Anolis sagrei: one gene and its partners. Each later gene encodes a partner of the first gene's protein in a complex. Links are inferred from orthologs where the notes say so. Each region holds a gene or a part of one and is shown in the gene's direction. Other genes may lie near its edges.

Region 1 (7,058 bases):
ATGACAGGAAGCTAACTTTCCTTAGCTGGAGATTCCAATCTCAAAATGCTAAGGTCAATGTATGGGTCCCAACTACTCCTGGAGATGGATCCCTCCAAACCGTCTAAAAGGAGGGAAAGTTCCTGGAAGTGGCCCCTTCTCTTCCAACTTCAGACCCCTCTAAGCTGTAGGTCTCCCCAAGAATTGGTATAATGGCTTCTCTAGGGTCTGAAACGCCCCCTCGGCTACCAACTCGAGGCCCTGAGTCCTCACGAGAAGGAAGGCCACAGCTGGCTGCACTTTCTCCTTCAAGGCTGCTGCTTCCAAGTTTCTGAGGGAAAGGAGAGAGTGGTGCCGAGGCCTGGCTGGCCGCGGAGGCGCCGGGGGCCCTCGAGGGGGCCACGAGTCCCCTGCTGAGGAGCCCCCTCCGCCTCTCCCTCCGGCCGAGTCCCTAGCAAGGCCCCCACGCCGGGCCCCCCATCCTCCTTTTCCTCCTCCTCGCCCCCTCTTACTTCCCTCCACGAAACGGCGCCGCTTCCAGGTTGGGGGGAGGGGCGGGAGAGGAAAGTGAGGAGGGGAGAAGGTAAGCCGCCAACTCTCGCGAGAACACGGACAAAATTCGCCGAAGCTTCCTGTAGTAACGCGCGGGGGGCTCTTCTGCTCCGTCTTTCTCGCTCTCTCTTCTCTCTATACCTGCTCCTCCAGATATCGCGAGAGCAAGCGCGCGCAAGCTTGCTCTCCTTCCTGCCTGCCTGCCTACCTTCTGGCGCGCAGGCGCACAAGCCGAGTCTCGCGACGCTGCCCCTCAGGAAGAGAAGGGAAAGCGGAAAACCTCCTCCGCTTTCTCGAAACGGGTTTGACCTCTCGCGGGGCCGAAATCTCACGGGAACTCGTTCGAGCGTTTGAACAAAACTTTTATCTGCATGGGGACAATTGCAGAGGCTCGGCGCTGACTTGGTTGGAGAGGGAAGCTGCCACGTTTCGTTGCAAAATGGGAATTGGAAGTCCAAAATACCCGGAGGGTCCAAGTTTGCCCATGCCTGCTTTAGACGGAAAACACTGACTTTGCAGTGCTTTCCCTCTTGTGGTGACAGATTGGCCTGTCTGTCATGATAAAAAGTACACACAAAAATGTAATAACATGTCTGTAGAATATACCATGCGATGTGCAGGGCTTGATGAATGCAAGGCTGGGGTTAAAATGGCTGGAAGAAACATTAACAAACTTAGATATGCAGATGATACCGCTTTGATGGCAAAAAGTGAGAAACTGAGGAGACTTCTAATCAAGGTGAAAAAAGAAAGCGCAAAAGCTGGGTTGCAATAACACATTAAAAAAAACAAGATTATGGCAACAAGAATGATTGACAACTGGAAAATAGAGGGAGAAAACGAGGTCATGGCAGACTGTATTTCTATGCGCAAAAATTAACTGCAGACGCAGACTGCAGCCAGGAAATCAGGAGATGCTTACTTCTTGGGAGGAGAGCAATGTCCAATCTTGATAAAATAGTGAAGAGTAGAGACATCACACTGGCAACCAAGATCCGCATAGTTAAAGCAATGGTATTCCTCATAATCACCTATGCACGTGAGAGCTGGACCATAGGGAAGGCTGAATTTCCTGAAGTATGGACTGGTTGGATCTTCTCACTGTCCAAGGCACTCTCAGAACTTTCCTCCAACACCACAGTTCAAAAGCATCTATCTTCCTTTGCTTAGCCTTCCCTATGATCCAGCTCTCACATCCGTAGGTGACTAAAGGGAAGACCATTGCTTTAACTATGCAGATCTTGGTTGCCAGTAGGATGTCTCTACTCTTCGCTATTTTATCGAGATTGGACATTGCTCTCTTCCCAAAAAGTAAGTGTCTCCTGATTTCCTGGCTGCAGTCTGCTTTGCAGTAATCTTTGTTAGTGTTTAGAGCGGAAGTATTTGCACAGGCTTGGTAGAAATCATAGACTCTGCAGTTATCTTTGCACCTAAAAATACAAAGTCTGTCACTGCCTCCATGTTTTCTCCCTCTGTTTCCCAGTTGTCAATCATTCTTGTTGCCATAATCTTGGGGTTTTTTTATGTTTAACTGCAACCCAGCATTTGCGCTTTCTTCTTTCACCTTGATTAGAAGTCTCCTCAGCTCCTCCTCGCTTTTGGCCATCAAAGTGGTATCATCTGCATATCTATGGTTGTTAATGTTTCTTCCTGCAATTTTCACCCCAGCCTTGCATTCCTCAAGCCCCGCACATCGCATGATGTGTTCTGCCTACAAGTTGAATAGGTTGGATGAGAGTATACAACCCTGCCATACACCTTTCCCAATCTTGAACCAGTCTGTTGTTCCATGGTCAGTTCTTACTGTTGCTACTTGGTCATTATACAGATTCCTCAGGAGAGAGATAAGGTGATTTGGTATCCCCATACCACCAAGAGCTTGCCACAATTTATTATGATCGACACAAAAGCTTTAGAATAGTCAATAAAACAGAACTCAACCATTATATTGTAATATAAGAAAAAGGAATCTGCGAACCCCACCTCCTTCAAGATGAACTGAACCACCTCAACTGGGCTCTACAGGCCAATGGATACTCCACCTCAGACATCAGAAGAGCTGCAAGACCAAGAACAAGCCACAAGAGTAAAGATGAAGATTCACCCAGAGGAAAAGTGTTCCTGCCATACATCAAGGGAACCACTGACCGCATAGGGAAGCTGATGAGGAAACACAACTTACAAAGTATCTACAGACCCACCAAGAAAATCCAACAAATGCTATGTTCAGCAAAGGACAAGAGGGATCTTTTCACTTCTGCAGGAGTCTACCGTGTACCATGCAGCTGTGGACAAGTCTACATAGGGACCACCAAACGCAGCAGCTCCCAAACACGAATCAAGTAACATGAAAGGCACTGCAGAATACTTCAACCTGCGAAGTCAGCCATAGCAGAGCACTTGATGAACCAACCTGGACACAGCATATTATTTGAGAACACAGAAATGCTGGACCACTCTCACAATCACGATGTCAGACTACACAGAGAAGCCATTGAAATACACAGGCATGTGGACAATTTCAACAGAAAGGAGAAACCATGAAAATGAACAAAATCTGGCTACCAGTATTAAAAAAAACTCTAAAATTACAACAGCACAACAACGGAGAGGAAACAAACAAGGACATCTAATCACCTCTCAACAAAGGTTTGCTCCAGGCACTGTCAGGCCATTATATGCTAATCAAGGTGATCAGTTGAAACATTTACACCTAGCTCCAGCAGACAGGAGTCCTTTGTCCTACCCTGGTCATTCCACAGATATATAAACCCCTTTTTCCTAGTTCCAACAGACCTCACAACCTCTGAGGATGCTTGCCATAGATGCAGGTGAAACCTACAACAACCTATTGTAATATTACATGTAATATTACATGTAATATAAATATATAATTATAATATTGTATTAATGTATTGTCGAAGGCTTTCATGGCCAGAATCACTGGGTTGTTGTAGGTTTTTTCGGGCTATATGGCCATGTTCTAGAGGCATTCTCTCCTGACGTTTCGCCTGCATCTATGGCAAGCATCAGTACCTCTAAGGATGCTTGCCATAGATGCAGGCGAAACGTCAGGAGAGAATGCCTCTAAAACATGGCCATATAGCCCGAAAAAACCTACAACAACCCAATTGTATTATTAGTATTATATTGTTTTACATTATAATATATATTACATGTATATACAATATATTGGATTATTAGTAAAGTACAGGAAATTGCAGCATGAACTGTATTATATGATCCAGGCTTGGGCAAACTTCGGTCCTCCGGGTGTTTTGGACTTTGTCTAAAGCGAAGGAATTGCATTGGACGTTTTCCTGATGGGTGAAAGAGCGTGACCTGTTTTGTTTGTTTATTTTTTTTTTTTCAAGGGAGGTGGAAATGAAAGCCTCGCGAGAAGTGCTTTCTGCCGCTAGATTGGCTGACTTCCCACGCGCCGCGGCTTCTCTCGCGCTTGTTGCTCTCCACCTCCGGTTTCCCCTCCCAAATCCCGCGAGAGCTGGAAATCTCACGCGGACGCCAGTGGGATGGTGCCTTGCGCGCGCCTCGGGTCTTCTCCTCCGAGCGGGAGACGGGCCTTCCTTCCCCGCCGCATGAGGGAGGGCGGAGCGGGGCGCCGGGCCCCTCTCCTTCCCTGCCTGCCGCTCCGGTGAAGGATGAAGGCCGCCCAGGGCGCCTCGGAGGGTGAGTGAGTCACGCCGGCCTGGGAGTGACACCAAGGCCTCAAAGTGGGAGCACTCCCAATAAAGGCTGCGTTCAGAAACCCCACAAAGAGCCTTGTGTGAGCAAAGCTCAGGTGTGCAGGGCCGTACAGGCGAAGTATCTTATATCCCAAATGAGTTCGCCCCACAAGTGTTTGGAATCTCGGATTTTTGAGGCTTGATCTGCACTATTATATAATGCAGCGTGAACCGAATTATATGATCCAGGCATGGGCAAACTTAATCCCTCCGGGTGTTTTGGACTTCAACTCCCGCCCTGCGGTTAGGAATTGTGAAGTTGAAGTCCAAAACACCCGGAGGGCCCAAGTTTGCCCATGCCTGCTTTAGACTGAAGCTTTATCAACTGACTTTGCAATATTTTGCCTCATACGATGTCTTGTCTGTCATAAAAAGTACAAGCAGAAGTTGAATCACATATAAGACTACAAATAAGACTCTCCTGTTTTTCCCAGGAGCTTGGTTCATGCATTCATCTGTCAGTCATTAAGGGATGGACACATTTGTGAATTGGTCCTCTGAGTAGCATTGATCCACAAAGCTGAAACTGTAGATGTGAACATTATACAGAGTGAGGCAGCATAACTTCCCTTTTTCAAGACTTAATAAAACCCATTGTAAGAATCAGAATATTTTTAATATAATGTAGGCGCATACCTAAAGTTTTGTTTTACGTAGTTTTTAAGATCAAATTAGGCAGGTGACGTCCCTCATTCTCCATACACTGAGTAAACCGATTTCTGGCATTTGTCATGACTCTTACCAGCATAGCAGGCGTTATGTTGGCAGTTTCTTCCTGGATGTTGGTCTTCAAATCTTTTAGGGTCCTTGGACAGTTCACATAAACACGGGATTTCAAAAAGCCCCATAAAAAAAATCACAAGGGGCCAATGCAACCTGAGTCCTGCCACATGCACAATGGAGGACCTTCTTGCAGCAACACCAGAAGCACTCCAAGTGGCCAGATACTGGTCAAAGGACATTTAATCAACTACCAAATTCACAAATTTTGTATTTTGTCTGTTTGTTTGTTTGCTTTGTTCTGTTAGAAATGTAATATAATTGCCTGGTTGCTGATGGCTCGATAAATAAACAAGGGGCCAAATCTGGAGAGGAGGCCAGCCACTCCCAAATCCGCTCAAAAAGTAGGCCTCAACAGCAAAAGCACGCTTCTCACTGTTCCAACGCATGATGGCGACTGAACTGTGTCAGGACAAAACTTTATACTCCCGCCTCTCGAACAAGACCCCTAGCGCTCCTCTACGTTTTCAACCGCCTGAATGGCGCGCATTTTAAAAAAGGAAGTTATGTTGCCTCACCCTGTATTTGCTACCACTTCCGGTCCAGTAGACTGCATCAACGACCCAACGGCTGCTCTGGCCAGAGCGAAGACAGAGGGGAGCAGAAGACGTTTCCATCTTGTCTTTACTAATAATCTAATATAGTATATTGTATATACATATAATATTTATAATATTATAATGTAATACAATATAATACTAGTAATAATAATATGATATTATAATTATATATTTACACTAATAATATTACAATATAATGGTATAGTGCAATAAAGTAATATATAATACTGATATTGTACTATGCTAATAATATAATATATTGTATGAAAATATATATTGTAAGCCACTCTGAGTCCCCTTCGAGGTGAGAAGGGCGGCATATAAATGCCGTAAATAAAAAAAATCAAGAATTTCTCCCCTGTCTGGCTTGGGCCTTGTAATCTATCCACCTTTCCCTTTAGTATCCACCTTGACTTGGTCCTCTGCAGATGCTGTTCCATACTAGATCTCTGCTTAATGAGTACTGTACTGTAATTTAGTTTCTGTGAATAGTTAGAAGGCCCTTCCTTTAGACCAGCCATGGGCAAACTTCGGCCCTCTGGATGTTTTGAACTTGAAATCCCAAGCAACTTACTGGCTGTTAAGAATTGTGGAAGTTGAAAACACCTGGAGAACCCAAGTTTGCCCATACCTGCTTTAGACTGAATAGCTGACTTTGCAATGATTTGGAAGTTATGCTGCCTCACCCTGTATGATATTTGGTAGCAGAGATTATGGCACACTCAGGTAGAAACCAGAATAGAAATATCACTCACTCCCCCAAGCACAGGTAAAAGAACCAAACTTAAGTTAAAGTGTAAAGGGATACTTGACACATAGTTTCAGCGTTTTCAGGTATGGTGAAAGTGTCAGGAAAACAAGCATGTCATCAGCTTTGACTGTTTGACTTCAAGAGTATTCATAGCTTCTTTGAGTCTCTGTTAAGAAAGAACAGTGGCATAAAAATAAATGTAATTATACAGGAACACTTGCTCACTATGTGCTTCATAGTGAGGGGTCACGATGAAAAAAGATGAGTGGGCAAACCCATGCTGTTCCTGGGGAGAAAAGTAGTATGCATGGGACTTAGGAAGAAGGGGTGTGAGCAAGCAAACAATCAACATGCTTTTCTAAACATCCATAGGCTATACCAGTGAGTTCAGCATGCTCTGCCCAGAAAGCGGCACAGGACTACAATGAAAGTAAAAAAGCGCAAATAAAGAAATTGTGTTTATTTCAGATAACACCTCTAGAAATTTCTAGGTGTTCCAACATGACTCTATGGGCAACTTCTGTTGGAAGGTAATCATACAATTGGGTTAGGGAACCCAAAAATTTCTAGAGATCTTAATGTATAAAAATTGCTTGGTCCTCCACCATGATTGGAAGAAGTTGACCACAGAGTCACATTGGAGGGTCTAGAGATTCTTAGAACATTTAAATCAAATCAGAAGTCAAAACCACA
Region 2 (6,862 bases), on another chromosome or scaffold:
AAGGGGCCTGTCAATTGTTTCATGCATAGAGGTTTTGCACTTTTTCATCTGAAAGGGGATTTTCAGTGTATTGTCGAAGGCTTTCATGGCTGGAATCCCTGGTTGTTGTAAGTTTTTCGGGCTGTATAGCCATGTTCTAGAAGCATTCTCTCCTGACGTTTCACCTGCAACTATGGCAGGCTTCCTCACAACCTCTGAGGATGCCTGCCATAGTTGCAGGTGAAACGTCAGGAGAGAATGCTTCTAGAACATGGCTAGACTGCCTCAAAAACTTACAACAATACAGAGATTTCCGGTGTTTGTCACCAATTTCCTTTCACAAAACCAAGGGCCCTTCCACACAGCCATACAACCCAGAATATCAAGGCAGATAATTCACAATATCTTATTTAAAGTGGAATATCTGAGTCCACACTGCCATATAATCCAGTTCAGTGTGGAAGGGGGCCAAGAGTCGACCACGGTATCCTTCTGGGACACCTCGCAGGGATGGGTCTTGGAGGAACTGTTTTGCAGTGGCTCCGGTCATTCCTGGAGGGTCGATCTCAGAAGGTGTTGTTGGGGGACACCTGTTCAACCCCACAACCATTGTCTTGTGGGGTTCCTCAGGGCTCAATATTGTCTCCCATGTTGTTTAACATCTACATGAAGCCGCTGGGGGAGATCATCCGGAGTTTCGGGGTACGGTGTCATCTGTACGCGGATGATGTCCAACTCTGTCACTCCTTTCCACCTGCTACTAAGGAGGCTGTCCAGGTCCTGAACCGGTGCTTGGCCGCTGTGACGGTCTGGATGAGGGCGAACAAATTGAAATTGAATCCAGACAAGACAGAGGTACTCCTGGTCAGTCGCAAGGCCGAACAGGGCATAGGGTTACAGCCTGTGTTGGATGGGGCCGCACTCCCCCTGAAGACGCAGGTTTGCAGCTTGGGTGTGATCCTGGACTCATCGCTGAGCCTGGAACCCCAGGTTTCGGCGGTGACCAGGGGAGCATTTGCACAGCTAAAGCTTGTGCGCCAGCTGCGCCCGTACCTTGGGAAGTCTGACTTGGCCACGGTAGTCCACGCTCTGGTTACATCCCGTGTAGACTACTGCAACGCTCTCTACGTGGGGTTGCCTTTGAAGACAGCTCGGAAGCTCCAACTAGTCCAACGCTCGGCAGCCATGATTTTAACAGGAGCGGAGCGCAGGGAGCATACAACCCCCCTGTTGCGCCAACTCCACTGGCTACCGATCTGCTACCGGGCTGAATTCAAAGTGCTGGCGTTGGCCTTTAAAGCCCTAAACGGTTCCGGCCCAAGCTACCTATCTGACCGCATCTCTGCCTATGAACCCACCAGGACTTTGAGATCTTCCGGGGAGACCCTGCTCTCAATCCCGCCTGCTTCTCAAGCTCGGCTGGCGGGGACGAGAGATAGGGCCTTCTCGGTGGTGGCTCCTCAGCTGTGGAACGCCCTTCCTACGGACATTAGACTAGCACCATCTCTAATGGTATTCCGCAAAAAGGTGAAGACCTGGATGTTTGTGCAGGCGTTTGAGTAATTTAGTGCAATCTGGTAATGGAACATAGGAATGGAACAATGGACGACGAACCTGGACTACGCTTGGATGATGAGAAGATTGGGTACGGTTGTTTTTTGTAATAATTGTGCATTGTAATTGCTTATTGTTAATTTATGGATAATGTGTTAAGTCAATTGTTATATGTTGTATGGAACCACTGCTGTTTCTACTGTTTTTACTGTTTGTGAACCGCTGTGAGTCGCCTTCGGGCTTGAGATACAGCGGTATATAAGTAAAGTAAGTAAATAAATAATAATAATAAGAGTCAGATCACTGACAAAGCAGGGAAAACTCACAACCCAATATAAGCTCACTGCTGCTCTCTGCTGCCATAAGAGAGGCATAACAGGAAAAAATATTACTGTACTTTGCAGTAACAAGGCCTTCCTTTCAAAGTATAAATAATATGTAGCATTATAAATTTCCTTGTTCAGGATCTAACTAACTAGTACTAGTACACTACTATAGATTGTCTATGCAATTTAGTCTTCATGCTGTGTTAGAAACAACAGAAAATATCTTCTGATTTTCTATATAGAAATGGGGTGATATAAAGAAAACGAATATTGCATAAAATATAAAGGAGAGAGGTGCATTATGATCTGGCAAGCTTTCATACTAATGTATATTGTTTTAAAATGCATATCTTATGTTTATGGGTTGCTTTATATATGTGTGCTTTGATTGCTGTTGTTTTGTACTGTATTTAGTATGTTGGAAGCTGCTTTGGTAGCTTCCTTCGTGGGAGAAAAGTGGACTATAAAGAAAGCACCATTAAAGCCTTGGCAGACCACGCAAAAAGAATCTGCGAACCCCACCTCCACCAAGATGAACTGAACCACCTCAACTGGGCTCTACAGGCCAATGGATACTCCACCTCAGACACCAGAAGAGCTGCAAGACCAAGAACAAGCCACGAGAGTCAAGATGAAGATCCACCCAGAGGAAAAGTGTTCCTGCCATACATCAAGGGAACCACTGACCGCATAGGGAAGCTGATGAGGAAACACAACATACAAACAATCTACAAACCCACCAAGAAAATCCAACAAATGCTACGTTCAGCAAAGGACAAGAGGGATCCTCTCACCTCTGCAGGAGTCTACAGTATACCATGCAGCTGTGGACAAGTCTACATAGGGACCACCAAACGCAGCGCCCAAACAAGAATCCAAGAACATGAAAGGCACTGCAGACTACTCCAACCAGAGAAATCAGCCATAGCAGAGCACCTGATGAACCAGCCTGGACACAGCATATTATTTGAGAACACAGAAATGCTGGACCACTCTCACAACCACCATGTCAGACTACACAGAGAAGCCATTGAAATCCACAAGCATGTGGACAATTTCAACAGAAAGGAGGAAACCATGAAAATGAACAAAATCTGGCTGCCAGTATTAAAAAACTCTAAAATTACAACAGCAAAACAACAGAGGGGAAACAATCAGGCACATCTAATCACCTCTCAACAAAATATTGCCCCAGGCACTGCCAGGCCATCAAATGCTAATCAAGGTGGTCAGTTGAAACATTCACACCTAGCTCCAACAGACAAAAGTTCTTTGTCCCACCCTGGTCATTCCACAGATATATAAACCCCTTTTTCCTAGTTCCAATAGACCTCACTACCTCTGAGGATGCTTGCCATAGATGCAGGCGAAACGTCAGGAGAGAATGCCTTTAGACCATGGCCATATAGCCCCAAAAAACCTACAACAACCCAGCGATTTATTGTCGGGTTGCTGTGAGTTTTCCAGCCTGTCTGGCCATGTTCCAGAAGCATTCACTCCTGATGTTTCGCCCACATCTATGCCAGACATCCTCAGAGGTTCTGAGGTTAGTTGGAAACTAGGTAGGTGAGGTTTATATATCTGTGGAATAATGTCCAGGGTGGGAGAAAGAACTCTTGTCTGTTTGAGGCAATTGGCCAGCTTGATTAGCTTGATTAGCTTCAAAGCCTGGCTGTTTTCTGCCTGAATTCTTGTCTGCTTGAGGCCGTTAGGAATTGTGGGAGTTGAAGTCCAAAACACCTGGAGGGCTCAAGTTTGCCATACCATACCATATGTGTATGTATTTACACGTGGGGGGAAGGGGAGGGAATCATACTCCAGAGCTCCTGATTGACGTCAGGAGCAGCCAATCAGAGAGAAGATCCTTTTCTTCCCCTGCTTCAGGGCAAATGCTCGCTCGCTTCCCTCCATCTTTGCCTCCGCGCGGCTCTCGCTGACGCCATCCCACGTCAGCCAATAGGAAAATTAGATGGGGGAGGGGCTGTTTGCCGGATGTACGTCACCAGTTGGCGAGGGAAAGGGAGGAAGGAGAGCGCAGGCGTAGGAAGCGGGGCTTCCGGTGGGAGCGCGGGTGTTTGGTGCTCTTGTTCCGTGGGGAAGCCGAAGAGAGGAGAGGGAAGCCGGCCTCGTCCGAATTGGGAGCCCGGGGCGAGCGGAGAGCTCCTCCGCGGGTGGGTGTCGCTGCCCGTCAAGGGTCTGTAAGGCTCATCCGTTTGGGATACGTCTAACACAAGCCTGGGCAAACTTGGGCCCTCCAGGGTGTTTTGGACTCCAGCTCCCACCATTCCTAACAGCCTCAGGCCCCTTCTGAGGCTGTTAGGAATGAGGCTGTTAGGAATGGTGGGAGTTGGAGTCCAAAACCCTGGAGGGCCCAAGTTTGCCCAGGCCTGGTCTGCCACATACATTTCATGCAGTCTGACACCACTTTAACTGCCTTAGTTCAGTGCTATCGAATCCAGGGTGTTGCAGTTTGTTGAGGCACCAGAGGAGGCTAAAGACCTTATGAATCCACATCTCCCATAGCACTGAGCCATTGAAGATAGGGCCCTTCTAGACAGGCTCAATATCTCAGGATCTGATCCCAGGTATTCTGTTTATCCCAGATTATCTGGCAGTGCGGACTTATATAATCCAATACAGGGAGCATACCACCCCCCTGCTGCGTCAGCTCCACTGGCTGCCGGTCCACCTCCGAGCACAATTCAAAGTGCTGGTCTTGGCCTATAAAACCCTATACGGCTCCAGCCCAGCTTACTTATCCAAACGTATCTCTCTCTACGTTCCACCTCATAATTTAAGATCTTCTGGGGAGGCCCTGCTCTCGGTCCCACCAGCGTCTCAAACATGTCTGGTGGGAACAAGGGACAGGGCCTTCTCAGTGGTGACCCCCCGCTTATGGAATTCGCTCCCCAGCAAGATTAGATCGGCGCCCTCCCTCCTTACTTTTAGGGAAAAAACTAAATACGTGGTTTTGGAACCAGGCGTTTGGCTAGTGGGCACAACAGCACTTTAGGCACTGAACTCAGACAATAGGATTGTTTGAAAATTGGAAATGGCTTTATGACCTGTGATTCTGTGATATGTCCTATGTGGTTATGCAATTTTAACTAATATCACTACTTAATTGTTATGTAATGGATTTCATATTGCTGTTTTATATTGTTGTTTTGATACTGTTGGCATTGAATAGTTGCCTGTGTTAGCCGCCCTGAGTCCCCCCTCGGGGGTGAGAAAGGCGGGGTAGAAATGGTCTAAATAAATAATAAATTTAAAGCAGAAAACCTGGGATAATGGGCCTGTCTGGAAGGGCCCTGGGACAACTGTCACTGTCTGGAGCCTGGAGGATGGCAAAGGAGGAGGGGAGGGAGGCCTTGAACCAATCTTGCAAAAAACAAAAACAGCCCGGTGATGGGGTTGCATTAGGGTCGCCAAAAGTTAGAAAGTACTTGAAGGCATACAAAAACAGTGTTTCTCAGGCTAAAGCTCCCTTTATTATTATTATTATTATTATTATTGACACAAAAGCACAGTATGTCACAGCAAACGAGATCTATATGCTGGATTTCGTATCACAAAATCACAAGTCGAACGCTTCCCAAGCGTCTAGGACTGTGTGATGTATTTTCGAATGATGCGCACAGATCCAAGTAAGGTGGCCTATTGCAATTGACAGATCGTGATTTTGTCAATGTTTATTGTTTCCAAATTTCGGCTGAGATCTTTTGGCACAGCACCCAGTGCTCCAATGACTACTGGGACCACCTGTACTGGTTTATGCCAGAGCCTTTGCAGTTTGGTTTTGAGGTCTTGATAGCGGCTGAGTTTTTCCTCAATGCGACTGTCACCCGGTATGGCGACGTCAATAATCCAGACTTTTTTCTTTCCCACAATCATGATGTCTGGTGTATTGTGTTCCAAAACTTTGTCAGTCTGGATTCGAAAGTCCCACAGTATTTTTGCAGGTTCATTTTCCACGACCTTTGCGGGTTTATGATCCCACCAATTCTTTGCTGCTGGCAGGTGGTACTTGTGACATAAGTTCCAGTGAATCATCTGAGCCACAGAGTTGTGTCTTTGTAGTCCGTCTGTGCAATTTTCTTGCAACAGCTGAGGAGATATTATCATTATCATTATTATTATTATTATTATTATTGCATTTATATTTATACCATGCTTTTTCTCTCCACAAGGAGACTCAAAGCAGCTCACGTTGGAAATGTGTTGCCTTGCCATCCTTTCAAAAACTGCAGATGGAGGGGCTCTGCTCACTTAGTGGTGGTCTCAGTGTTGTCATGTATAATGTTTTTGGCGTATTTTTATAAGTTATCCTTTTTATTCATTTATATCCATCTTTCATGGGTCTCAAGGCAGCTAACAATATATATAAGGGTACAAAAACAATTAAGCAATTTATAAACTTAAAGCATTAAAATATTAAAATGCCTTTGTGTCTGTCTGTGCCTTTGGGTCACCTGTTGACTTATGAATTTCATAGAATTTTCTTCTGTCAGGAATACTCTGCCAATTCCTTCCTCTGAAGTACAGGCTACTGCGCCTGGTATTTGTTGGTGGTCTCCCACCCAAGTATTGACCTGAGCTGACACTTAGCTTCAAGGATTGGAGGGGATCTGGTGCATTTGCAGTATGATAAACCCTTCAAAAAAGGCCTTAAAATACATGTTGATGTGATTGTATTTAAACTGTTTCTCCTTCCCTCACTGGAGCTAAAGTCCCAGCATGCATTATTTTGGGGAGAGCCCTTGAATACTATTGAATGCAAACCAAATTGGAGAATTCTCCCACAGAGAAGTTTCACCAATTTATAATGAGTTATTCAAAATACTTTTGTTGTGGTGATTTTTAAATTACTTTTTATTTCGTTCTTTTGTGTTCTGCTTAATTGTATTCTAGTGTTCTAACCTTTAAAAATACATTTCTCTTAATTTGTATTATAAGTTTCATTTTAATTTTAGTATAACATGTATTTATAATACAGATAGAAA
Region 3 (7,573 bases), on another chromosome or scaffold:
AAAAAGCTACCTTGAATTGAGCATGCTGTCACCTGTAAAGAGGATAAGTATTATGTGCAAACGTCCCTAACGAATAACACTATATATACATTCCTTACAGACATCTCACCCAAAGAAGTAGAACTTTTACTGCAAAGACAAAGCCTAGCGTATGTGGTACAGCTTTTGTAGTGACAAGGAGGGTAAAAATTTGCAATTGAAAAAAAAATGCCCCAATATGCCCCCCAAATGATCTCTGGGGCCCCAGGAAGGCCTCAAAATAAGTTGGGAATGTCCTCATAACCCTAAAGGGTATTTAGGGCCAAACATTTAATGTTTTTGCATCATCAGCAGAAAAATGTGTGTCTATGGCTCCTCCACTTCCTGAGAGGTTGGCTAATGTGTTCCCAGAGTCTGCCATAGTTGCACACCCTTATTTTTACAGAGACGGTAGCTTCATAAAGCTGCACACCAACCAATCTCAAGCAGGTTCTTATTCACCAAAATCGTTTTGTCTTGTTGTTCAACAGGCAACTTGCCTGTAACTCATGGGCCTCCTGCAAACTCTTGGGAAAGATGGGTCTGGTTGAAAACTGACGAGGCTTGTTTATTTGCTTTTTGGTTTAGATAAGGATTCACTCTGTTTTCATTTGGTATCTCTTATCCAAAATACTTGGAACCAGAGCATACTTGGAACCCTTTGTATCCACAGAATCAAACATCCATGCCTTGAAAATATTTCCCACAAAAAAAAATCCACAAAGCAAACCTTAATTTTACCATATTATATAAGGGACATCATTTAACTATGTTATTGTACATGATGAGGTTTGAGAATCAATGGATTTTGGTATCAACAGGGATCCTGGAAACAAACTCTGGCAGATACCAAGGCCCACAGTAATTGTATATACATAATAATTAAACTTCTTGGAGTGCAACCATGTAACCCAAGTCCAAACATGAAATTCACAAATGCTTCATATACACATCATAAAGCATAATCTGAAGGTAATTTTACACCTCAGTGTCACCAAACTCTAGTCCTCCAGTTGTTTTGGCCTTCACCCTGCAGAATTCCTGATGATTGATCAAGGCAGCCGAGGCTTCTGGGAGGTGAAGTCCAAAACTTCTGGAGGAAAACAGCTTGGGGATCACTGTTATACACAAACTTTTATATCACTTTGTGCATGAAGCTACTTTTATATACATTGAATTATCAAAGCTAAAGGTATCACTCTATCAGCCATCCACGTGGGCCATTAGGGGCCATTTCAGGTTTCAGTCACTCAACCCGAACTCAAGTCTGGCACCAGGATCCCCCATTCGTTGCAAACACTCTTTTCCACAAAAAAAAGGAGGGGTCACAATCTTTGCAAAGATGAGATGGATGGCCATCTGTTGGGGGTGCTTTGAATGCAATTTTCCCACTTCTTGGCAGGGAGTTGGACTGGATGGCCCACAAGGTCTTTTCCAACTCTATGATTCTATGATCAGCTTCCAAATGGAGCTTCATAACCTTTGCAAAAGCTCTCATCCAAAAGGGAGATCTCATACATTGTACGAAACCTCCTCTCCAAAACGGGGGTCCCACATCCCTTGCAAAATCTCCCCTCAAACCATGGTTGTGCAACTGATCCAGCAAAGCCAAAAGTGTCACTCCCTCAGCTACCTACATGGGCCATTTCAGAATGTTGGATTTGGGATACTCAACCCATACCCAGGTCTGTCACTTGGGTCCCATGTTCTTTGCAAAGAGCTCCTCTCCAAACCAAGGGTCCCACATGCTTAGAAAGAGCTCCCCTTAAAAATGGTGGTCCCCTCAAATCATATGTGTGCAATTGAACCAATGGGAATGGTGTGTGTGTTGTCTTGGGGGGGGGGGTGTGTAGTTTTTAAATGTAGCTTTACTGTACTTCAATTCTGATTATTAACAATAAAGAAAAAGTTAATTTTTCCAATATTAATATTTATATTCCCATGAATTTGCTCTGTTTGTCTCATATTATGTTTGCTGTTAGCCACTATGTGACCCTATATCTAGAGAAAGGCCGGATAAAAACAAAGTAAATAAATAAGCAAATAGAACAAAGGTGTTATTATATCAGTAAACCACATTGACCATTTTGAAGTATTGTGTACTGGGGATACTCAACCTGCACTCAGGTCTGGCACTAGGGCCCCACACCTTTTACAAGAGCTCCCCGCCAAAACAGGGGTTTCATGCCTTTTACAAAACTTTCACTCCAAAATGGGGACCCCACACTCTTTGCAAGAGCTCTCCTCAAACCATGTTTGTGTGATTGAACCAACAAAGCCAAAGGTGTTGTTCTCTCAATTACCAACATGGATCAGATTACGGTTACTCAATCTTTTCTGCAGTCTGGCACCCCTTCCAGAACTTCCCACAAACCAAGGTTCATGTGATTAAACCAACAAAGCCGAAGATGTCACTATAGGCATCTATACCAGGCAGGGGCAAACTCAGGCCCTTCAGGTGTTTTGGCTGTTAGGAATTGTGGGAGCTGAAGTCCAAAACACCGGGGGGGGGGGGCAAAGTTTGCCCATGCCTGATCTATATTGTAGAATTAATGCAGCTGGACACCACACTTTCACTGCCATGGCTCCAGGCAAAGGAGTCAAGGGAGTTGCGATTTGGTGAAGCACCAGCACTCTTGGCTGGAGCCACGGTAGTGCAATAGCTTAAACCCCTTGTGCTGGTTGAACTGCTGCCCTAAAGGTCAGTGGTTTAAAGGTTCAAATCCCTTTTTTTTGGGTTGTGTCAGAAGTGACTTGAGAAACTGCAAGTCGCTTCTGGTGTGAGAGAATTAGCCATAGAATCATAGAGTTGGAAGAGACCTCATGGGCCATCCAGTCCACCCCCTGCCAAGAAGCAGGAATATTGCATTCAAATCACCCCTGACAGATGACCATCCAGCCTCTGTTTAAAAGCCTCCAAAGAAGGAGCCTCCACCACACTCCGGGGCAGAGAGTTCCACTGCTGAACAGCTCTCATAGTCAGGAAGTTTTTCCACATGTTCAGATGGAATTTCCTTTCCATCTGCAAGGACGTTGCCCAGGGAAGGCCCGGATGTTTTTACCATCCTTATGAGAGGCTTCTCTCATGTCCCCGCATGAGGAGCTGGAGCTGATAGAGGGAGTTCATCCACACTCTCCTTTGATTTGAAACTGCGACCTGTTGGTCTTTGGTCCTACCGGCACAGGAGTTTAACCCACTGAGCCCCAGGGGGCTCCAGTGAGATGGGGTGATCTCCCGCCTGTCAGGTCCAGTTTCCCATGCGGGGACATGAGAGAAGCCTCCCACAGGATGATAACCCATCTAGGAGCCCCCGGTGGCGCAGTGGGTTAAACCCCTGTGCCAACAGGACTGAAGACTGACAGGTCACAGGTTCGAATCCGGGGAGAGGTGGATGAGCACCCTCTATCAGCTCCAGCTTTCCATGCGGGGACATGAGAGAAGCTTCCCACAAGGATGGCAAAACATCAAAACATCCAGGCGTCCCCTGGGCAACGTCCTTGCAGACGGCCAATTCTCTCATACCAGAAGTGACTTGCAGTTTCTCAAGTTGCTCCTGACACAACAAAAAACAAACAAACAAATAACCCATCTAGGCATCCCCTGGGCAATGTCTCTGCTGACAGCCAATTCTCTCACATCAGAAGCAACTTGCAGTTTCTCAAGTCGCTTCTGACATGATTTAAAAAAGAGCATGTTTTGGCAGAGAAGGCAAAGACCTTGTAAAACTACACCTCCCATGATTCCATAGCATTGAGCCCTGGCTGTTAGAAGTACGGTTAGAAGTACATTGTGTACGGTTGTTTTTTGTAATAATTGTGCATTGTAATTGCTTATTGGTAATTTATGGATAATGTGTTAAGTCAATTGTTATATGTTGTATGGAACCACTGCTGTTTCTACTGTTTCTACTGTTTGTGAACCGCTGTGAGTCGCCTTCAGGCTTGAGATACAGCGGTATATAAGCAAAGTAAATAAATAAATAAATAAATAAATAATACAAGTGTTGTCAAACTGCATTAAGTCTAGAGTGTGTGCACCCTTTCTTCTGGAGGATATTGGCTGTGGGATACTCAACCTGCCTTCAGGCGAGGCTCTGGAGTCCCACACTCTTGGCAAGGGCTCCCCTCTTTATTTTTCCACAAAGAGGAGACTCGTCTACTAAAGTTATCACACTCGAGCTGAAGGAGTAGGCAAAGAGTCTGCCTCCCGTTTGGAAATCCCGCGGTTGCCTCCTGCAGAATTCTGGGGCTCGTAGTTTAGGGAAGAGCCTCAGACAGAGAGACCCTGGCTCTCACTCAACTACAGGCCCCAGAATCCTGCAGGAGGCAGCCACAGGGTTTCAGGTGGGAGGCAGACTCTTTGCCCACTCTTTCAACCAGCTCGCCAGGACTGGGAACCACCCTTCACACACGTGTCTGGCTGCACGTGTGTATGCACACCCTGCAAGGCCTGCAAAGCTTCCCTGCCGCCTCCCACCCATTTCGCCCCGAGCGGCGGCAGGGCAAAGAAGAGTACCTCCGCGTCGGGTCTCTCTGAAGCCGCCATGGCTGGCGCCGCCCTCATCCGGGACCTTCGACCTCCTGAAGTCCCGACCCGGAAGAGGAAACAGCCCTGCAAAGGAACTCCCCCCAGGCGCGGGAGGGTTTATATCACCGTCGCCATGCAGGTGAGGCGGGAGCGGAGGCTGGGTTGAGGCTCTTAAGGGAGTGGGGTTGTGCCTGCGTGCATCCACATTGTAGAATTAATGCAGTTCGACACCACTTACAATGTAGTCCTGGGAGTTATAGTGTGTTCACACATCAGCACTCTTTGCCAGAGAGGTGTAAGGCTATGGAATTTGTTGGGAATTTTACCAAGTTTTTCGTCTTCTCTGCTGAAGACTGATGGTGTCTCACCAAACTGTCACTCCCATGACAGCTAAAGTGGACTCAAACTGCACTAATGCTACAGTGTAGGCGCACCCCCCTTTCTCTGATGGTTTAACTATTGGATAATCACAGGTCACATAACCGAATGGAGGATTTTGACCTTTTTTTCATATCAAGAATGATTTGAGAAACTACAAGTCGCTTCTGGTGTGAGAGAATTGGCCATCTGCAAGGATGTTGCTCGGGGACGCCTGGATGTTTTACCATCCTTGTGAGAGGCTTCTCTCATGTCCCCGCATGAAAAGGTGGGAGCTCACCCCTCTTCCTGGATTTGAACCGTCAACCTTTCGGTCAGCAGTCCTGCCAACATAAGGGTTTAACACACTGCACCACTGGGGGCTCTGATTATGACCAATTGGGAAAACCATAAGCTTTATATCTTTTAAGAAAAGACATTGTATCTATGTGTATTTATACTTTGCAATTCAGCTGCTAGACTGATTTCCAGGTGACTCTGAACTATTAGCAACAGAGAATATGCCAATACACAATATATATATTTAGCAGATCTTCAAAGGTGTTGTTTAGTGTTCAAAAGACATCTACTCCCATAAATATCTTGTTTCTATTCCATTCTCTCAGGAGACAAAAATCAAGTAGATTTCTTTAAAATAACATATTTGTTTTACTCACAACCTCATGTATTTAAATATACAGACATGTTTCTTGTTTGTTTAAACTAAAACATTTCAGTTTGTGTCTTTAACTTTCAGTCTTTATCAGTCACTTCAACACTATACAGCTCTGTACAACTCTCCTTTATAACGGTCAACTTCCAACTGTCATCTTCAATGGTCATTCCTCAACTGTCATCTTTTAACTGTGTTCCAAACAGTCCCTGATCTGGTCACATTGTCCACAGCCCCTCCCACAACCTCAAGGACATAGAGTTAGGAAAAAACTGCATACCAAAAACACATAATAATAATAATAATAATAATAATAATAACTACTCCTACTCCTACTACTAGGGAAGTGTTGGATGTGTGATCCAGCACAACAGAGTGATCTTGTTTGCTGTGTACTAATCTTTTTGTGTTTCAAATAATAATAATAATAATAATAATGAAACTGAAATCCAGTCAGAATCTTCAGGACTGACATCAGTATGGAGTTCAGCCTAGACAAATGTGCCGCAATGGCATTAAACAAAGGGAGAATTACTCACAGCAAGGGTATAGAGATGCCAAACGGACAGACTATAAAATGCAATCAGCCTGAAGCCTATAAATATCTGGGCATACTACAGTTGGACAATATCAAGCATGGGCATGTGAAAAATGTGGTCAGCAAAAAATACGTCCAAAGGGTCAGAAAAGTTTTGAAGAGCAAATTAAATGGTGGAAATACAATCAAGGCTATCAACACCTGGGCCATCCCCGTCATCAGATACACTGCTGGAATTGTGAACTGGACACACTCAAAGTTGGATGATCTAGACAGAAAAACAAGAAAACTGCTGACAGTCCACTACTCATTACACCCACGTAATGATGTCGACAGATTTTACCTGCCCAGAAAATCAGGAGGCAGAGGGCTTCTGCAAGTGAAACAAACAGCAGAAGAAGAGAAACATACACTGGCAGATTATGTGAAAGGCAATCAAGAACCAACATTGATGGAAGTCAATGGTAGAAAACTGCTTCAAGTGCAAAAGACAATGAGTGAATACCGCAAAAATACAAGGCAGAGCAGAAGGTAAAACTGGCAAAAGAAGGCTCTCCATGGACAGTTCCTGAGAAAAATTGAGAACCAAATTGACAAAGAAAAAACATGGATGTGGCTTACAAATGGAACTTTGAAAAAGGAGACAGAGGGCCTGATTCTTGCAGCCCAAGAATGGGCAATTAGAACAAATGCTATCAAAGCCAGACTGAAAAGTTGATGACAGACCCCAAGTGTAGACTGGCAGACGAAACAATAGATCACATCCTCAGCTGCTGCAAGAAGATTGCACAGACAGACTACAAGCAGAGGCATAATACCATTGCTCAGATGATTCATTGGAACTTGTGCCACAAATACCATCTGCCTGCAACAAAGAACTGGTGGGATCACAAGCCTGAAAAGCTTACAAAAAATAAACACATCAAACTACTCTGGGACTTCTAAATTCAGACTGACAGAGTTTTGGAGCACAATACTCCTGACCTCACAAATGTGTTTAAAAACCAATTATGGATCGTCGATGTTGCAATCCCAGGCGGCAGCAGGATTGAAGAGAAACAACTGGAAAAACTGACACGATATAAGGATTTAAAGATTGAACTGCAAATACTCTGGCACAAGCCAGTAAAAGTGGTCCCAGTGGTGATCGGCACACTGGGTGCAGTATCTAAAGACCTTGGTCGGCACTTGAACACAATCAGCGCTGACAAAATTACCATCTGTCAGCAGCAAAAGGCCACCCTACTCATATCTGCATGCATTATTTGCCGATACACCACACAGTAGTGGTAGTAGTAGTAAGATGCCTCAGATCCTGACTGATTTAGGAAGTAAAGGAGGGACAGCTCTGGTTAGTACTTGGATAGGAAAGTGCAAATGAATACTGGGTGCTGAGGGCTATATTTTCAGATGAAGTAATTGGCAGACCTCCCTGTGAGTATTCCTTACCGAAGAGAAG
Region 4 (6,993 bases), on another chromosome or scaffold:
ATGGGCCATCCAGTCCAACCCCCTGCCAAGAAGCAGGAATATTGCATTCAAATCACCCCTGACAGATGGTCATCCAGCCTCTGTTTAATAGCTTCCAAAGAAGGAGCCTCCACCACACTCAGAGAGTTCCACTGCTGAACAGCTCTCACAGTCAAGAAGTTCTTCCTCATGTTCAGATGGATCTCCTCTCTTGTAGTTTGAAGCCATTGTTTCGTGTCCTAGTCTCCAGGGAAGCAGAAATCAAGCTTGCTCCCTCCTCCCTATGGCTTCCTCTCACATATTTATACATGGCTATCATATCTCCTCTCAGCCTTCTCTTCTTCAGGCCAAACATGCCCAGCTCCTTAAGCCACTCCTCATAGGGCTTGTTCTCCAGACCCTTGATCATTTTAGTCGCCCTCCTCTGGACACATTCCAGCTGGTCAATATCTCTCTTGAATTGTGGTGCCCAGAATTGGACACAATATTCCAGATGTGGTCTAACCAAAGCAGAATAGAGGGGTAGCATTACTTCCTTAGATCTAGACACTATGCTCCTATTGATGCAGGCCAAAATCCCATTGGCTTTTTTTGCCGCCACATCACATTTTTGGCTCATGTTTAATTTGTTGTCCACGAGGACCCTAAGATCTTTTTCACACGTACTGCTCTCGAACCAGGGATTCTGTTTCTTTGCATTTCGTTTTTCCTGCCAAAGTGGAGTATCTTGCATTTGTCCCCGTTGAATTTCATTTTGTTAGTTTTGGCCCATCTCTCTAATCTGTCAAGATCGTTTTGAATCCTGCTCCTGTCCTCTGGAGTATTGACAATCCCTCCCAATTTGGTGTCGTCTGCAAACTTGATGATCCTGCCTTGTAACCCTTCATCTAAGTCATTAATAAAGATATTGAAGAGGACCGGGCCCAGGACAGAACCCTGCAGCACTGAGTAGCCTTGCAGCTTTAAGTAGCCTTGCAGCTTCAAAGCCTGGCTGATTGCTGCCTGGGGGCAGGGGCGGCTCAACCCATTACGCAAAGTAAGCATTTGCGGGCGGCGGCCAGGTTGTTAACTGGTGCTCCTTACAGGGAGAGGTCCACCCTCCTGTTCAAGGAACTCCATTGGCTGCCGTTCATATTCCGGTCCCAATTCAAGGTGCAGGTGCTTACCTACAAAGCCCTAAACCAGTGTTTCTCAACCTGGGGGTCGGGACCCCTGGGAGGGGTCGGGAGGGGGTGTCAGAGGGGTCCCCGAAGACCATCAGAATATACAATATTTTCTGTTGGTCATGGAGGTTCTGTGTGTGACGTTTGGCCCAATTTTATCATTGGTGGTGTTCAGAATGCTCTTTGATTGTAGGTGAACTATAAATCCCAGCAACTACAACTCTATAATGTCAAGGTCTGTTTTCCCCAAACTCCACCAGGGTTCACATTTGGGCATACTGAGTATTCTATTTTCCCCAAATTCCATCTGTGTTCACATTTGGGCATATGGAGTATTCATGCCAAGTTTGGTCCAGATCCATCATTGTTTGAGTCCACAGTGCTCTCTGGGTGTAGGTGAACTACAACTCCAAAATTCAAGATCATTGCCCACCAAACCCTTGTAGTATTTTCTGTTGGTCATGGGAGTTCTGTATGCCAAGATCGGTTCAATTCCATCGTTGGTGGAGTTCAGAATGCTCTTTGATTGTAGGTGAACTATAAATCCCAGCAACTACAACTCCCAAATGACAAAATCAATCCCCCCAACCTCACCAGGATTCAAATTTGGGCATATTGAGTATTTGTGTCAAATTTGGTCCAGTGAATGAAAGTGCATCCTGCATATCTGATATTTACATTACAATTCGTAAGAGTAGCAAAATTACAGTTATGAAGTAGCAACAAATATAATTTTATGGTTAGGGGTCACCACAACATGAGGAACTGTATTAAGGGGTCACGGCAGTAGGAAGGTTGAGAAAAACTGCCCTAAACGGTTTGGGAACTGCCTACCTGCGTGACCGCGTCTCCATATATGAACCCACACGATCTCTCCGATCATCTGGAGAGGCCCTGCTCACAATTCCACCTGCATCGCAAGCGCTATTGGTGGGGACGAGGGACAGGGCCTTCTCCGTGGTGGCCCCCTGACTCTGGCACTCTCTCCCGAAGGACATCAGACAAGCCCCAATGTTGGCAGTCTTTAGGAAGAGCTTGAAGACATAGCTGTTCCAGTGTGCCTTTCCAGAATAGGAAACTCCTAGCACTTTACTAGAGATTTAAGATTGTCTGCACATCGCACCTATCTCCAAAAAACTATCCATTTCACCTGTCATGCCCAGCATTATTTAAATTTTTAATCATTACATTTGGCCCGGCCTTAGTTTTTGCATCTATGGCAAGCATCCTCAGAGGTGAGGTCTGTTGGAACTAGGCAAAACAGAGAGGAAGCAGGCAGGGACATCTAATTACCTCTCAGCAAAAGTTTGTCCCAGGCACAGTCAGGCCATTGTATGTTAATCAAGGTGGTCAGTTGAAACATTCACACCTAGCTCCAGCAGACAAGAGTCCTTTGTCTCACCCTGGTCATTCCACAGATATATAAACCCTTTTGCCTAGTTCCAACAGACCTCACAACTTCTGAGGATGCTTGCCAAAGATGCAGGCGAAACATCAGGAGAGAATGCCTCTAGACCATGGCCATATAGCCCGAAAAAAACTACAACAACCCAAAGGTTTGTATATATCAGCAATCCAATGTTACACTATCTCAGCCCAAAATGTAGACAATTTGGGCTTTGGGGTATAGCAATTTGGATAAGAGATGCTCAGCTCAAACTGATCAGCTATTTATTTATCGTGTCATCAGCAACCATTGTATTACAATTCTAACAGAGCAAAACAAACACACAGATTAAAAAGAAAAAGGAAAAAAAACACACAGATTTTGCAAATTTGGTATTTGGTTAAATGTCCTTTGACGAGTATCTGGCCACTTGGAGTGCCTCTGGTGTTGCCGCAAGAAGGTCCTCTATTGTGCATGTGGCAGGGCTCAGGGTGCATTGCAGCAGGTGGTCAGTGGTTTGCTCTTCTCCACACTCACATGTCGAGGATTCCACTTTGTAGCCCCATTTCTTAAGATTGGCTCTGCATCTCGTGGTGCCAGAGCGCAGTCTGTTCAGCGCCTTCCAAGTCGCCCAGTCTTCTGAGTGCCCAGGAGGAAGTCTCTCATCTGGTATCACCCATGGATTGAGGTGCTGGGTTTGGGCCTGCCACTTTTGGACTCTCGCTTGCTGGGGTGTTCCAGCGAGTGTCTCTGTAGATCTTGATTTAAGTCGTTGACGTGCTGGCTGATACCCAAACAGGGGATGAGCTGGAGATGTCTCTGCCTTGGTCCTTTCACTATTGGCTGCTACTTCCCGGCAGATGTCAGGTGGTGCAATACCGGCTAAGCAGTGTAATTTCTCCAGTGGTGTAGGGCGCAGACACCCTGTGATAATGCGGCATGTCTCATTAAGAGCCACATCTACTGTTTTAGTGTGGTGAGATGTGTTCCACACTGGGCATGCATACTCAGCAGCAGAGTAGCATAGCGCAAGGGCAGATGTCTTCACTGTGTCTGGTTGTGATCCCCAGGTTGTGCCAGTCAGCTTTCGTATGATGTTGTTTCTAGCGCCCACTTTTTGTTTGATGTTCAGGCAGTGCTTCTTGTAGGTCAGAGCACGATCCAGAGTGACTCCCAGGTATTTGGGTGTGTTGCAATGCTCGGCTACGACTCTGGAAACCAGGGTCTGAATCCGTGCTAGACTGGGTGCCTCACAGGAAGGCAAAGGTAAACACTGGAAAGGCCTGAAGGGACTGCTTTCCCTTGCAAGAAGGAGGTTTTTCCCATCCAACAGAGGGCGCAGTTGAAAGAATCCCATTCGTCACCCACAGAATCAATACTTTACAATCTTCCGGATTGGACCAGCGCGTCACGGCGTTGCTTAGCAACGCCACCTCCCGCCCTTTCCTCGGGATTGGCCGGGAGCTTCCCATTGGCTCTCGCGTGGCTTTGTGTTGGTCGCTGCTTCCAAGATGGCGGATCGCCTCACTCAGCTGCAAGACGCCGTCAATTCGGTGAGTTGACGAGGAGGATGCATGCATGCATGCATGGGCCATTGGTCTTCCCCCTTCTCTGGAAAGTTGGAGTTGTATTTATTTTTATTGGAAGGAGAGAAAAAAAGGCAATTTGCTCTAGGGATGGCTTCTACTAAATAAATCCCTGAGTAGAAATGGCCACTCTCTCGCCCTTTTCTTAGTTCTTACTCTCCTTCAGACCACATTTTGTCAAGCTGTTATTCCATCTCAACTGCTATGGCAGCACTGTATGACATTCTTGGATAGGCAGTGTTGAAGAACTTAGACGTTTTCACCAGAAAGCCTTTGGGTCTCACTGAACTTCAAAACTCTGGGGTTCCACAGGATGTTGCCATGGCAGCTGAAGTGGAGTGAGAGCGCCGTAGCCAGGTAGAGTGACAGGGCCCACAATGAGTTTAGCAAAATACTTACACCATGTCACAAAATTTGAGAATTTTTCTGTTCCTAGTTTGAAAGTGATATTTCTTGTTTAATTGTGCGGTACTTTGAAAGCAGTTGCTCTACTCCAGAAATTTTGTTTTTGTGGCTGACACAAATGATGGCCCCTTCTACACTACCATGTAAAATTTATTTATTTATTATTCGAACTTATATGCCGCCACTCCCCTGGGGCTCAGAGCGGCTTACAAGAATAGGCTAAAATCGAACACAATTTTAAAACAATTTAAAACAATTTAAAAACAGCAATATCAAACATTAAAAGCCTGTCAAAACAGGTATGTCTTACATGCCCTGCGGAAAGCTGGTAAGTCCCGCAAGGCACGGACTTCAGGTGGCAGAGTATTCCAGAGTGATGGTGCCACTGCTGTGAAGGCTCTGTGTCTGGTTGCTGTTAGACGCAAGGTCTTGACACTGGGGACTTCCAATAGATCTTGGTCCTCAGAACAGAGGGATCTCTGGGGTTGGTAGGGGGTGAGGCAGTCCCTCAGGTACATTGGCCCTAGACCATGCAAGGCCTTAAAGGTGAGTACCATCACTTTGAAAGTGATCAGGTGCTCAATTGGTAACCAATGCAGCTGCAGTAAGATTGGTGTTGTGTGGCATCTCATCGGAATTCCCGCAAAAAGCCGAGCAGCTGCATTTTGTACCAACTCGAGCTTCCGGATCATCGACAGAGGAAGGCCAATGTAGAGGGCGTTACAGTAGTCCAATCTTGAGATGACTGTAGCCTGGATCACCATAGCTAGGTCATCCCTAGACAGGTAGGGACAGCCATCTAGCCTGCCGCAGATGAAAAAAGGCAGTTCTGCTAACAGCAGAGACCTGGGCCTCCATGGTCAGCAGAGGGTCCAAAAGGACTCCCAGATTACTTGCTTTGAACAGGATTATATAGCAGTGTAGACTCGGGTCCCTTTCACACAGCTGAATAAAATTCAGATTATTTGCTTTAAACTGGAATATATGGCAGTGTGGACTCAGGCAACCCAGTTCAAAGCAAATATTGTGTGATTTTCTGCCTTCATAGTCTGGGTTTTATGGCTGCATGGAAGGGCCCTCAGGCTCCTTCTAAACTGACGTTTAATCCAGTTCAAATCAAATAATGTGAATTATCTGATTTTATAATCTGGATTATATGGCAGTGTAGAAGCAGCCTAAATTAAATTGATTCAGGTCCCATCTACATAATAATAATAATTATCGTTATGATTGTGTTTATTTATATCCAACCCCTTCTCCAAACAGGACTCGGGGCGGCTTGCAAAAAAGAAAACAGTACAAAAACCAAAGCAAAAATAAAACATAATTCATAAACTGCAATATCAAAAACCTAACAAAAAATAAAATGCAATACAAAAGCCAAGGCAAAAAAAAAACAATACATAAACAGCAGTCTCAAAACCTAACAGATTATCTGCTTCAAACTGAATTACAGTGTTCCCTCACTTATCGCGGGTGTTCCGTTTCAGGGCCAGCCACGATAAGTGAAAATCTGCCCACTCAGCGACAGCCGCCTCCTCCTCACCACTTCCGCTGCTCCCGGCCTCTGATGCTCCTTGGGCACCGTTGATGGCATTGCCAGGCTGGTCTGAGGCCTCAGCCCAGCCCGGCAGTGCCATCAACGGAGCCCAAGGGGCTTCCAAGGCCGGGAGCAGCAGAGGCGGTGAGGAGGAGGCCGCCACCAATGATACTTACAAACTTGATGTAACAAATTGTTCAACTGTATGTGTGTATTCATGATATTTTCCTCCCCCTCCATTTGATAACCTGTTCATCATATCCTCTCCAACAAAGTAGTAGGATATTTGTATTATTTTGGGGGTGTTTAACTGAAATTGAGTGCTTTTTAAAACTTTGTATACATTTTCTGGACACTGTGTAGATATTATCACAAAACCATGGGGTACCAAACCTTTCAAACACTGTGTCTAGTTCAAGTTCCCCTAATAGTAGACCATTATAAGAAACATTGCATTCGAACTGCATTCGAAGACTGATAGATAGTTTTTTCAACCATCAAGAACTTTTAAACCAATATATATATTAATCAAGGAACTCCACTAAAACAAGCCTATAACCTCCCAATTCTCTTTTTTTATCCATATTAGAAAAATCTTGATGCTTAATAAAGGGGCATATAGGAGAAGGCTATGATGATAGCTTTTCAATCCAGTATTTGCATACAAAAAAAGCCTACAACTTTACTTCCGCATGATTGTACATCTGCATTTGTTGTGATGTACTAACGAGTAAGTAATTCTATTTGATTGCTTACAGCTTGCAGATCAGTTTTGTAATGCTATTGGAGTACTTCAGCAGTGTGCCCCACCAGCATCGTTCAGCAGTATACAAACTGCAATAAACAAAGATCAACCTACTAATCCTACAGAAGGCAAGTGAACCTTATTGTTGAATTTGAGAGGAATGGTATAAATCTAGGAGCCAAATGATT

Evidence for each region.
Region 2: MED1 (region 1) and MED7 share a complex: the UniProt entries of both Homo sapiens proteins name them as parts of the mediator complex. The link is inferred for Anolis sagrei from reciprocal best matches to the Homo sapiens genes MED1 and MED7.
Region 3: MED1 (region 1) and MED8 share a complex: the UniProt entries of both Homo sapiens proteins name them as parts of the mediator complex. The link is inferred for Anolis sagrei from reciprocal best matches to the Homo sapiens genes MED1 and MED8.
Region 4: MED1 (region 1) and MED21 share a complex: the UniProt entries of both Homo sapiens proteins name them as parts of the mediator complex. The link is inferred for Anolis sagrei from reciprocal best matches to the Homo sapiens genes MED1 and MED21.

Annotation. Positions count from the first base shown.
Region 1 is NC_090026.1:43,431,886-43,438,943, forward strand, and holds the start of MED1 (mediator of RNA polymerase II transcription subunit 1), read left to right. Parts: upstream 1-4,032; 5' UTR 4,033-4,190; coding exon 4,191-4,218; intron 4,219-7,058. UniProt on the Homo sapiens protein: Component of the Mediator complex, a coactivator involved in the regulated transcription of nearly all RNA polymerase II-dependent genes.
Region 2 is NC_090022.1:80,580,706-80,587,567, forward strand, and holds the start of MED7 (mediator of RNA polymerase II transcription subunit 7), read left to right. Parts: upstream 1-3,855; 5' UTR 3,856-4,053; intron 4,054-6,862. UniProt on the Homo sapiens protein: Component of the Mediator complex, a coactivator involved in the regulated transcription of nearly all RNA polymerase II-dependent genes.
Region 3 is NC_090024.1:182,943,208-182,950,780, forward strand, and holds the start of MED8 (mediator of RNA polymerase II transcription subunit 8), read left to right. Parts: upstream 1-4,562; coding exon 4,563-4,685; intron 4,686-7,573. Other genes in the region: KICSTOR complex protein SZT2, read right to left, coding at 4,535-4,582. UniProt on the Homo sapiens protein: Component of the Mediator complex, a coactivator involved in the regulated transcription of nearly all RNA polymerase II-dependent genes.
Region 4 is NC_090025.1:91,890,501-91,897,493, forward strand, and holds the start of MED21 (mediator of RNA polymerase II transcription subunit 21), read left to right. Parts: upstream 1-3,975; 5' UTR 3,976-4,040; coding exon 4,041-4,082; intron 4,083-6,818; coding exon 6,819-6,933; intron 6,934-6,993. UniProt on the Homo sapiens protein: Component of the Mediator complex, a coactivator involved in the regulated transcription of nearly all RNA polymerase II-dependent genes.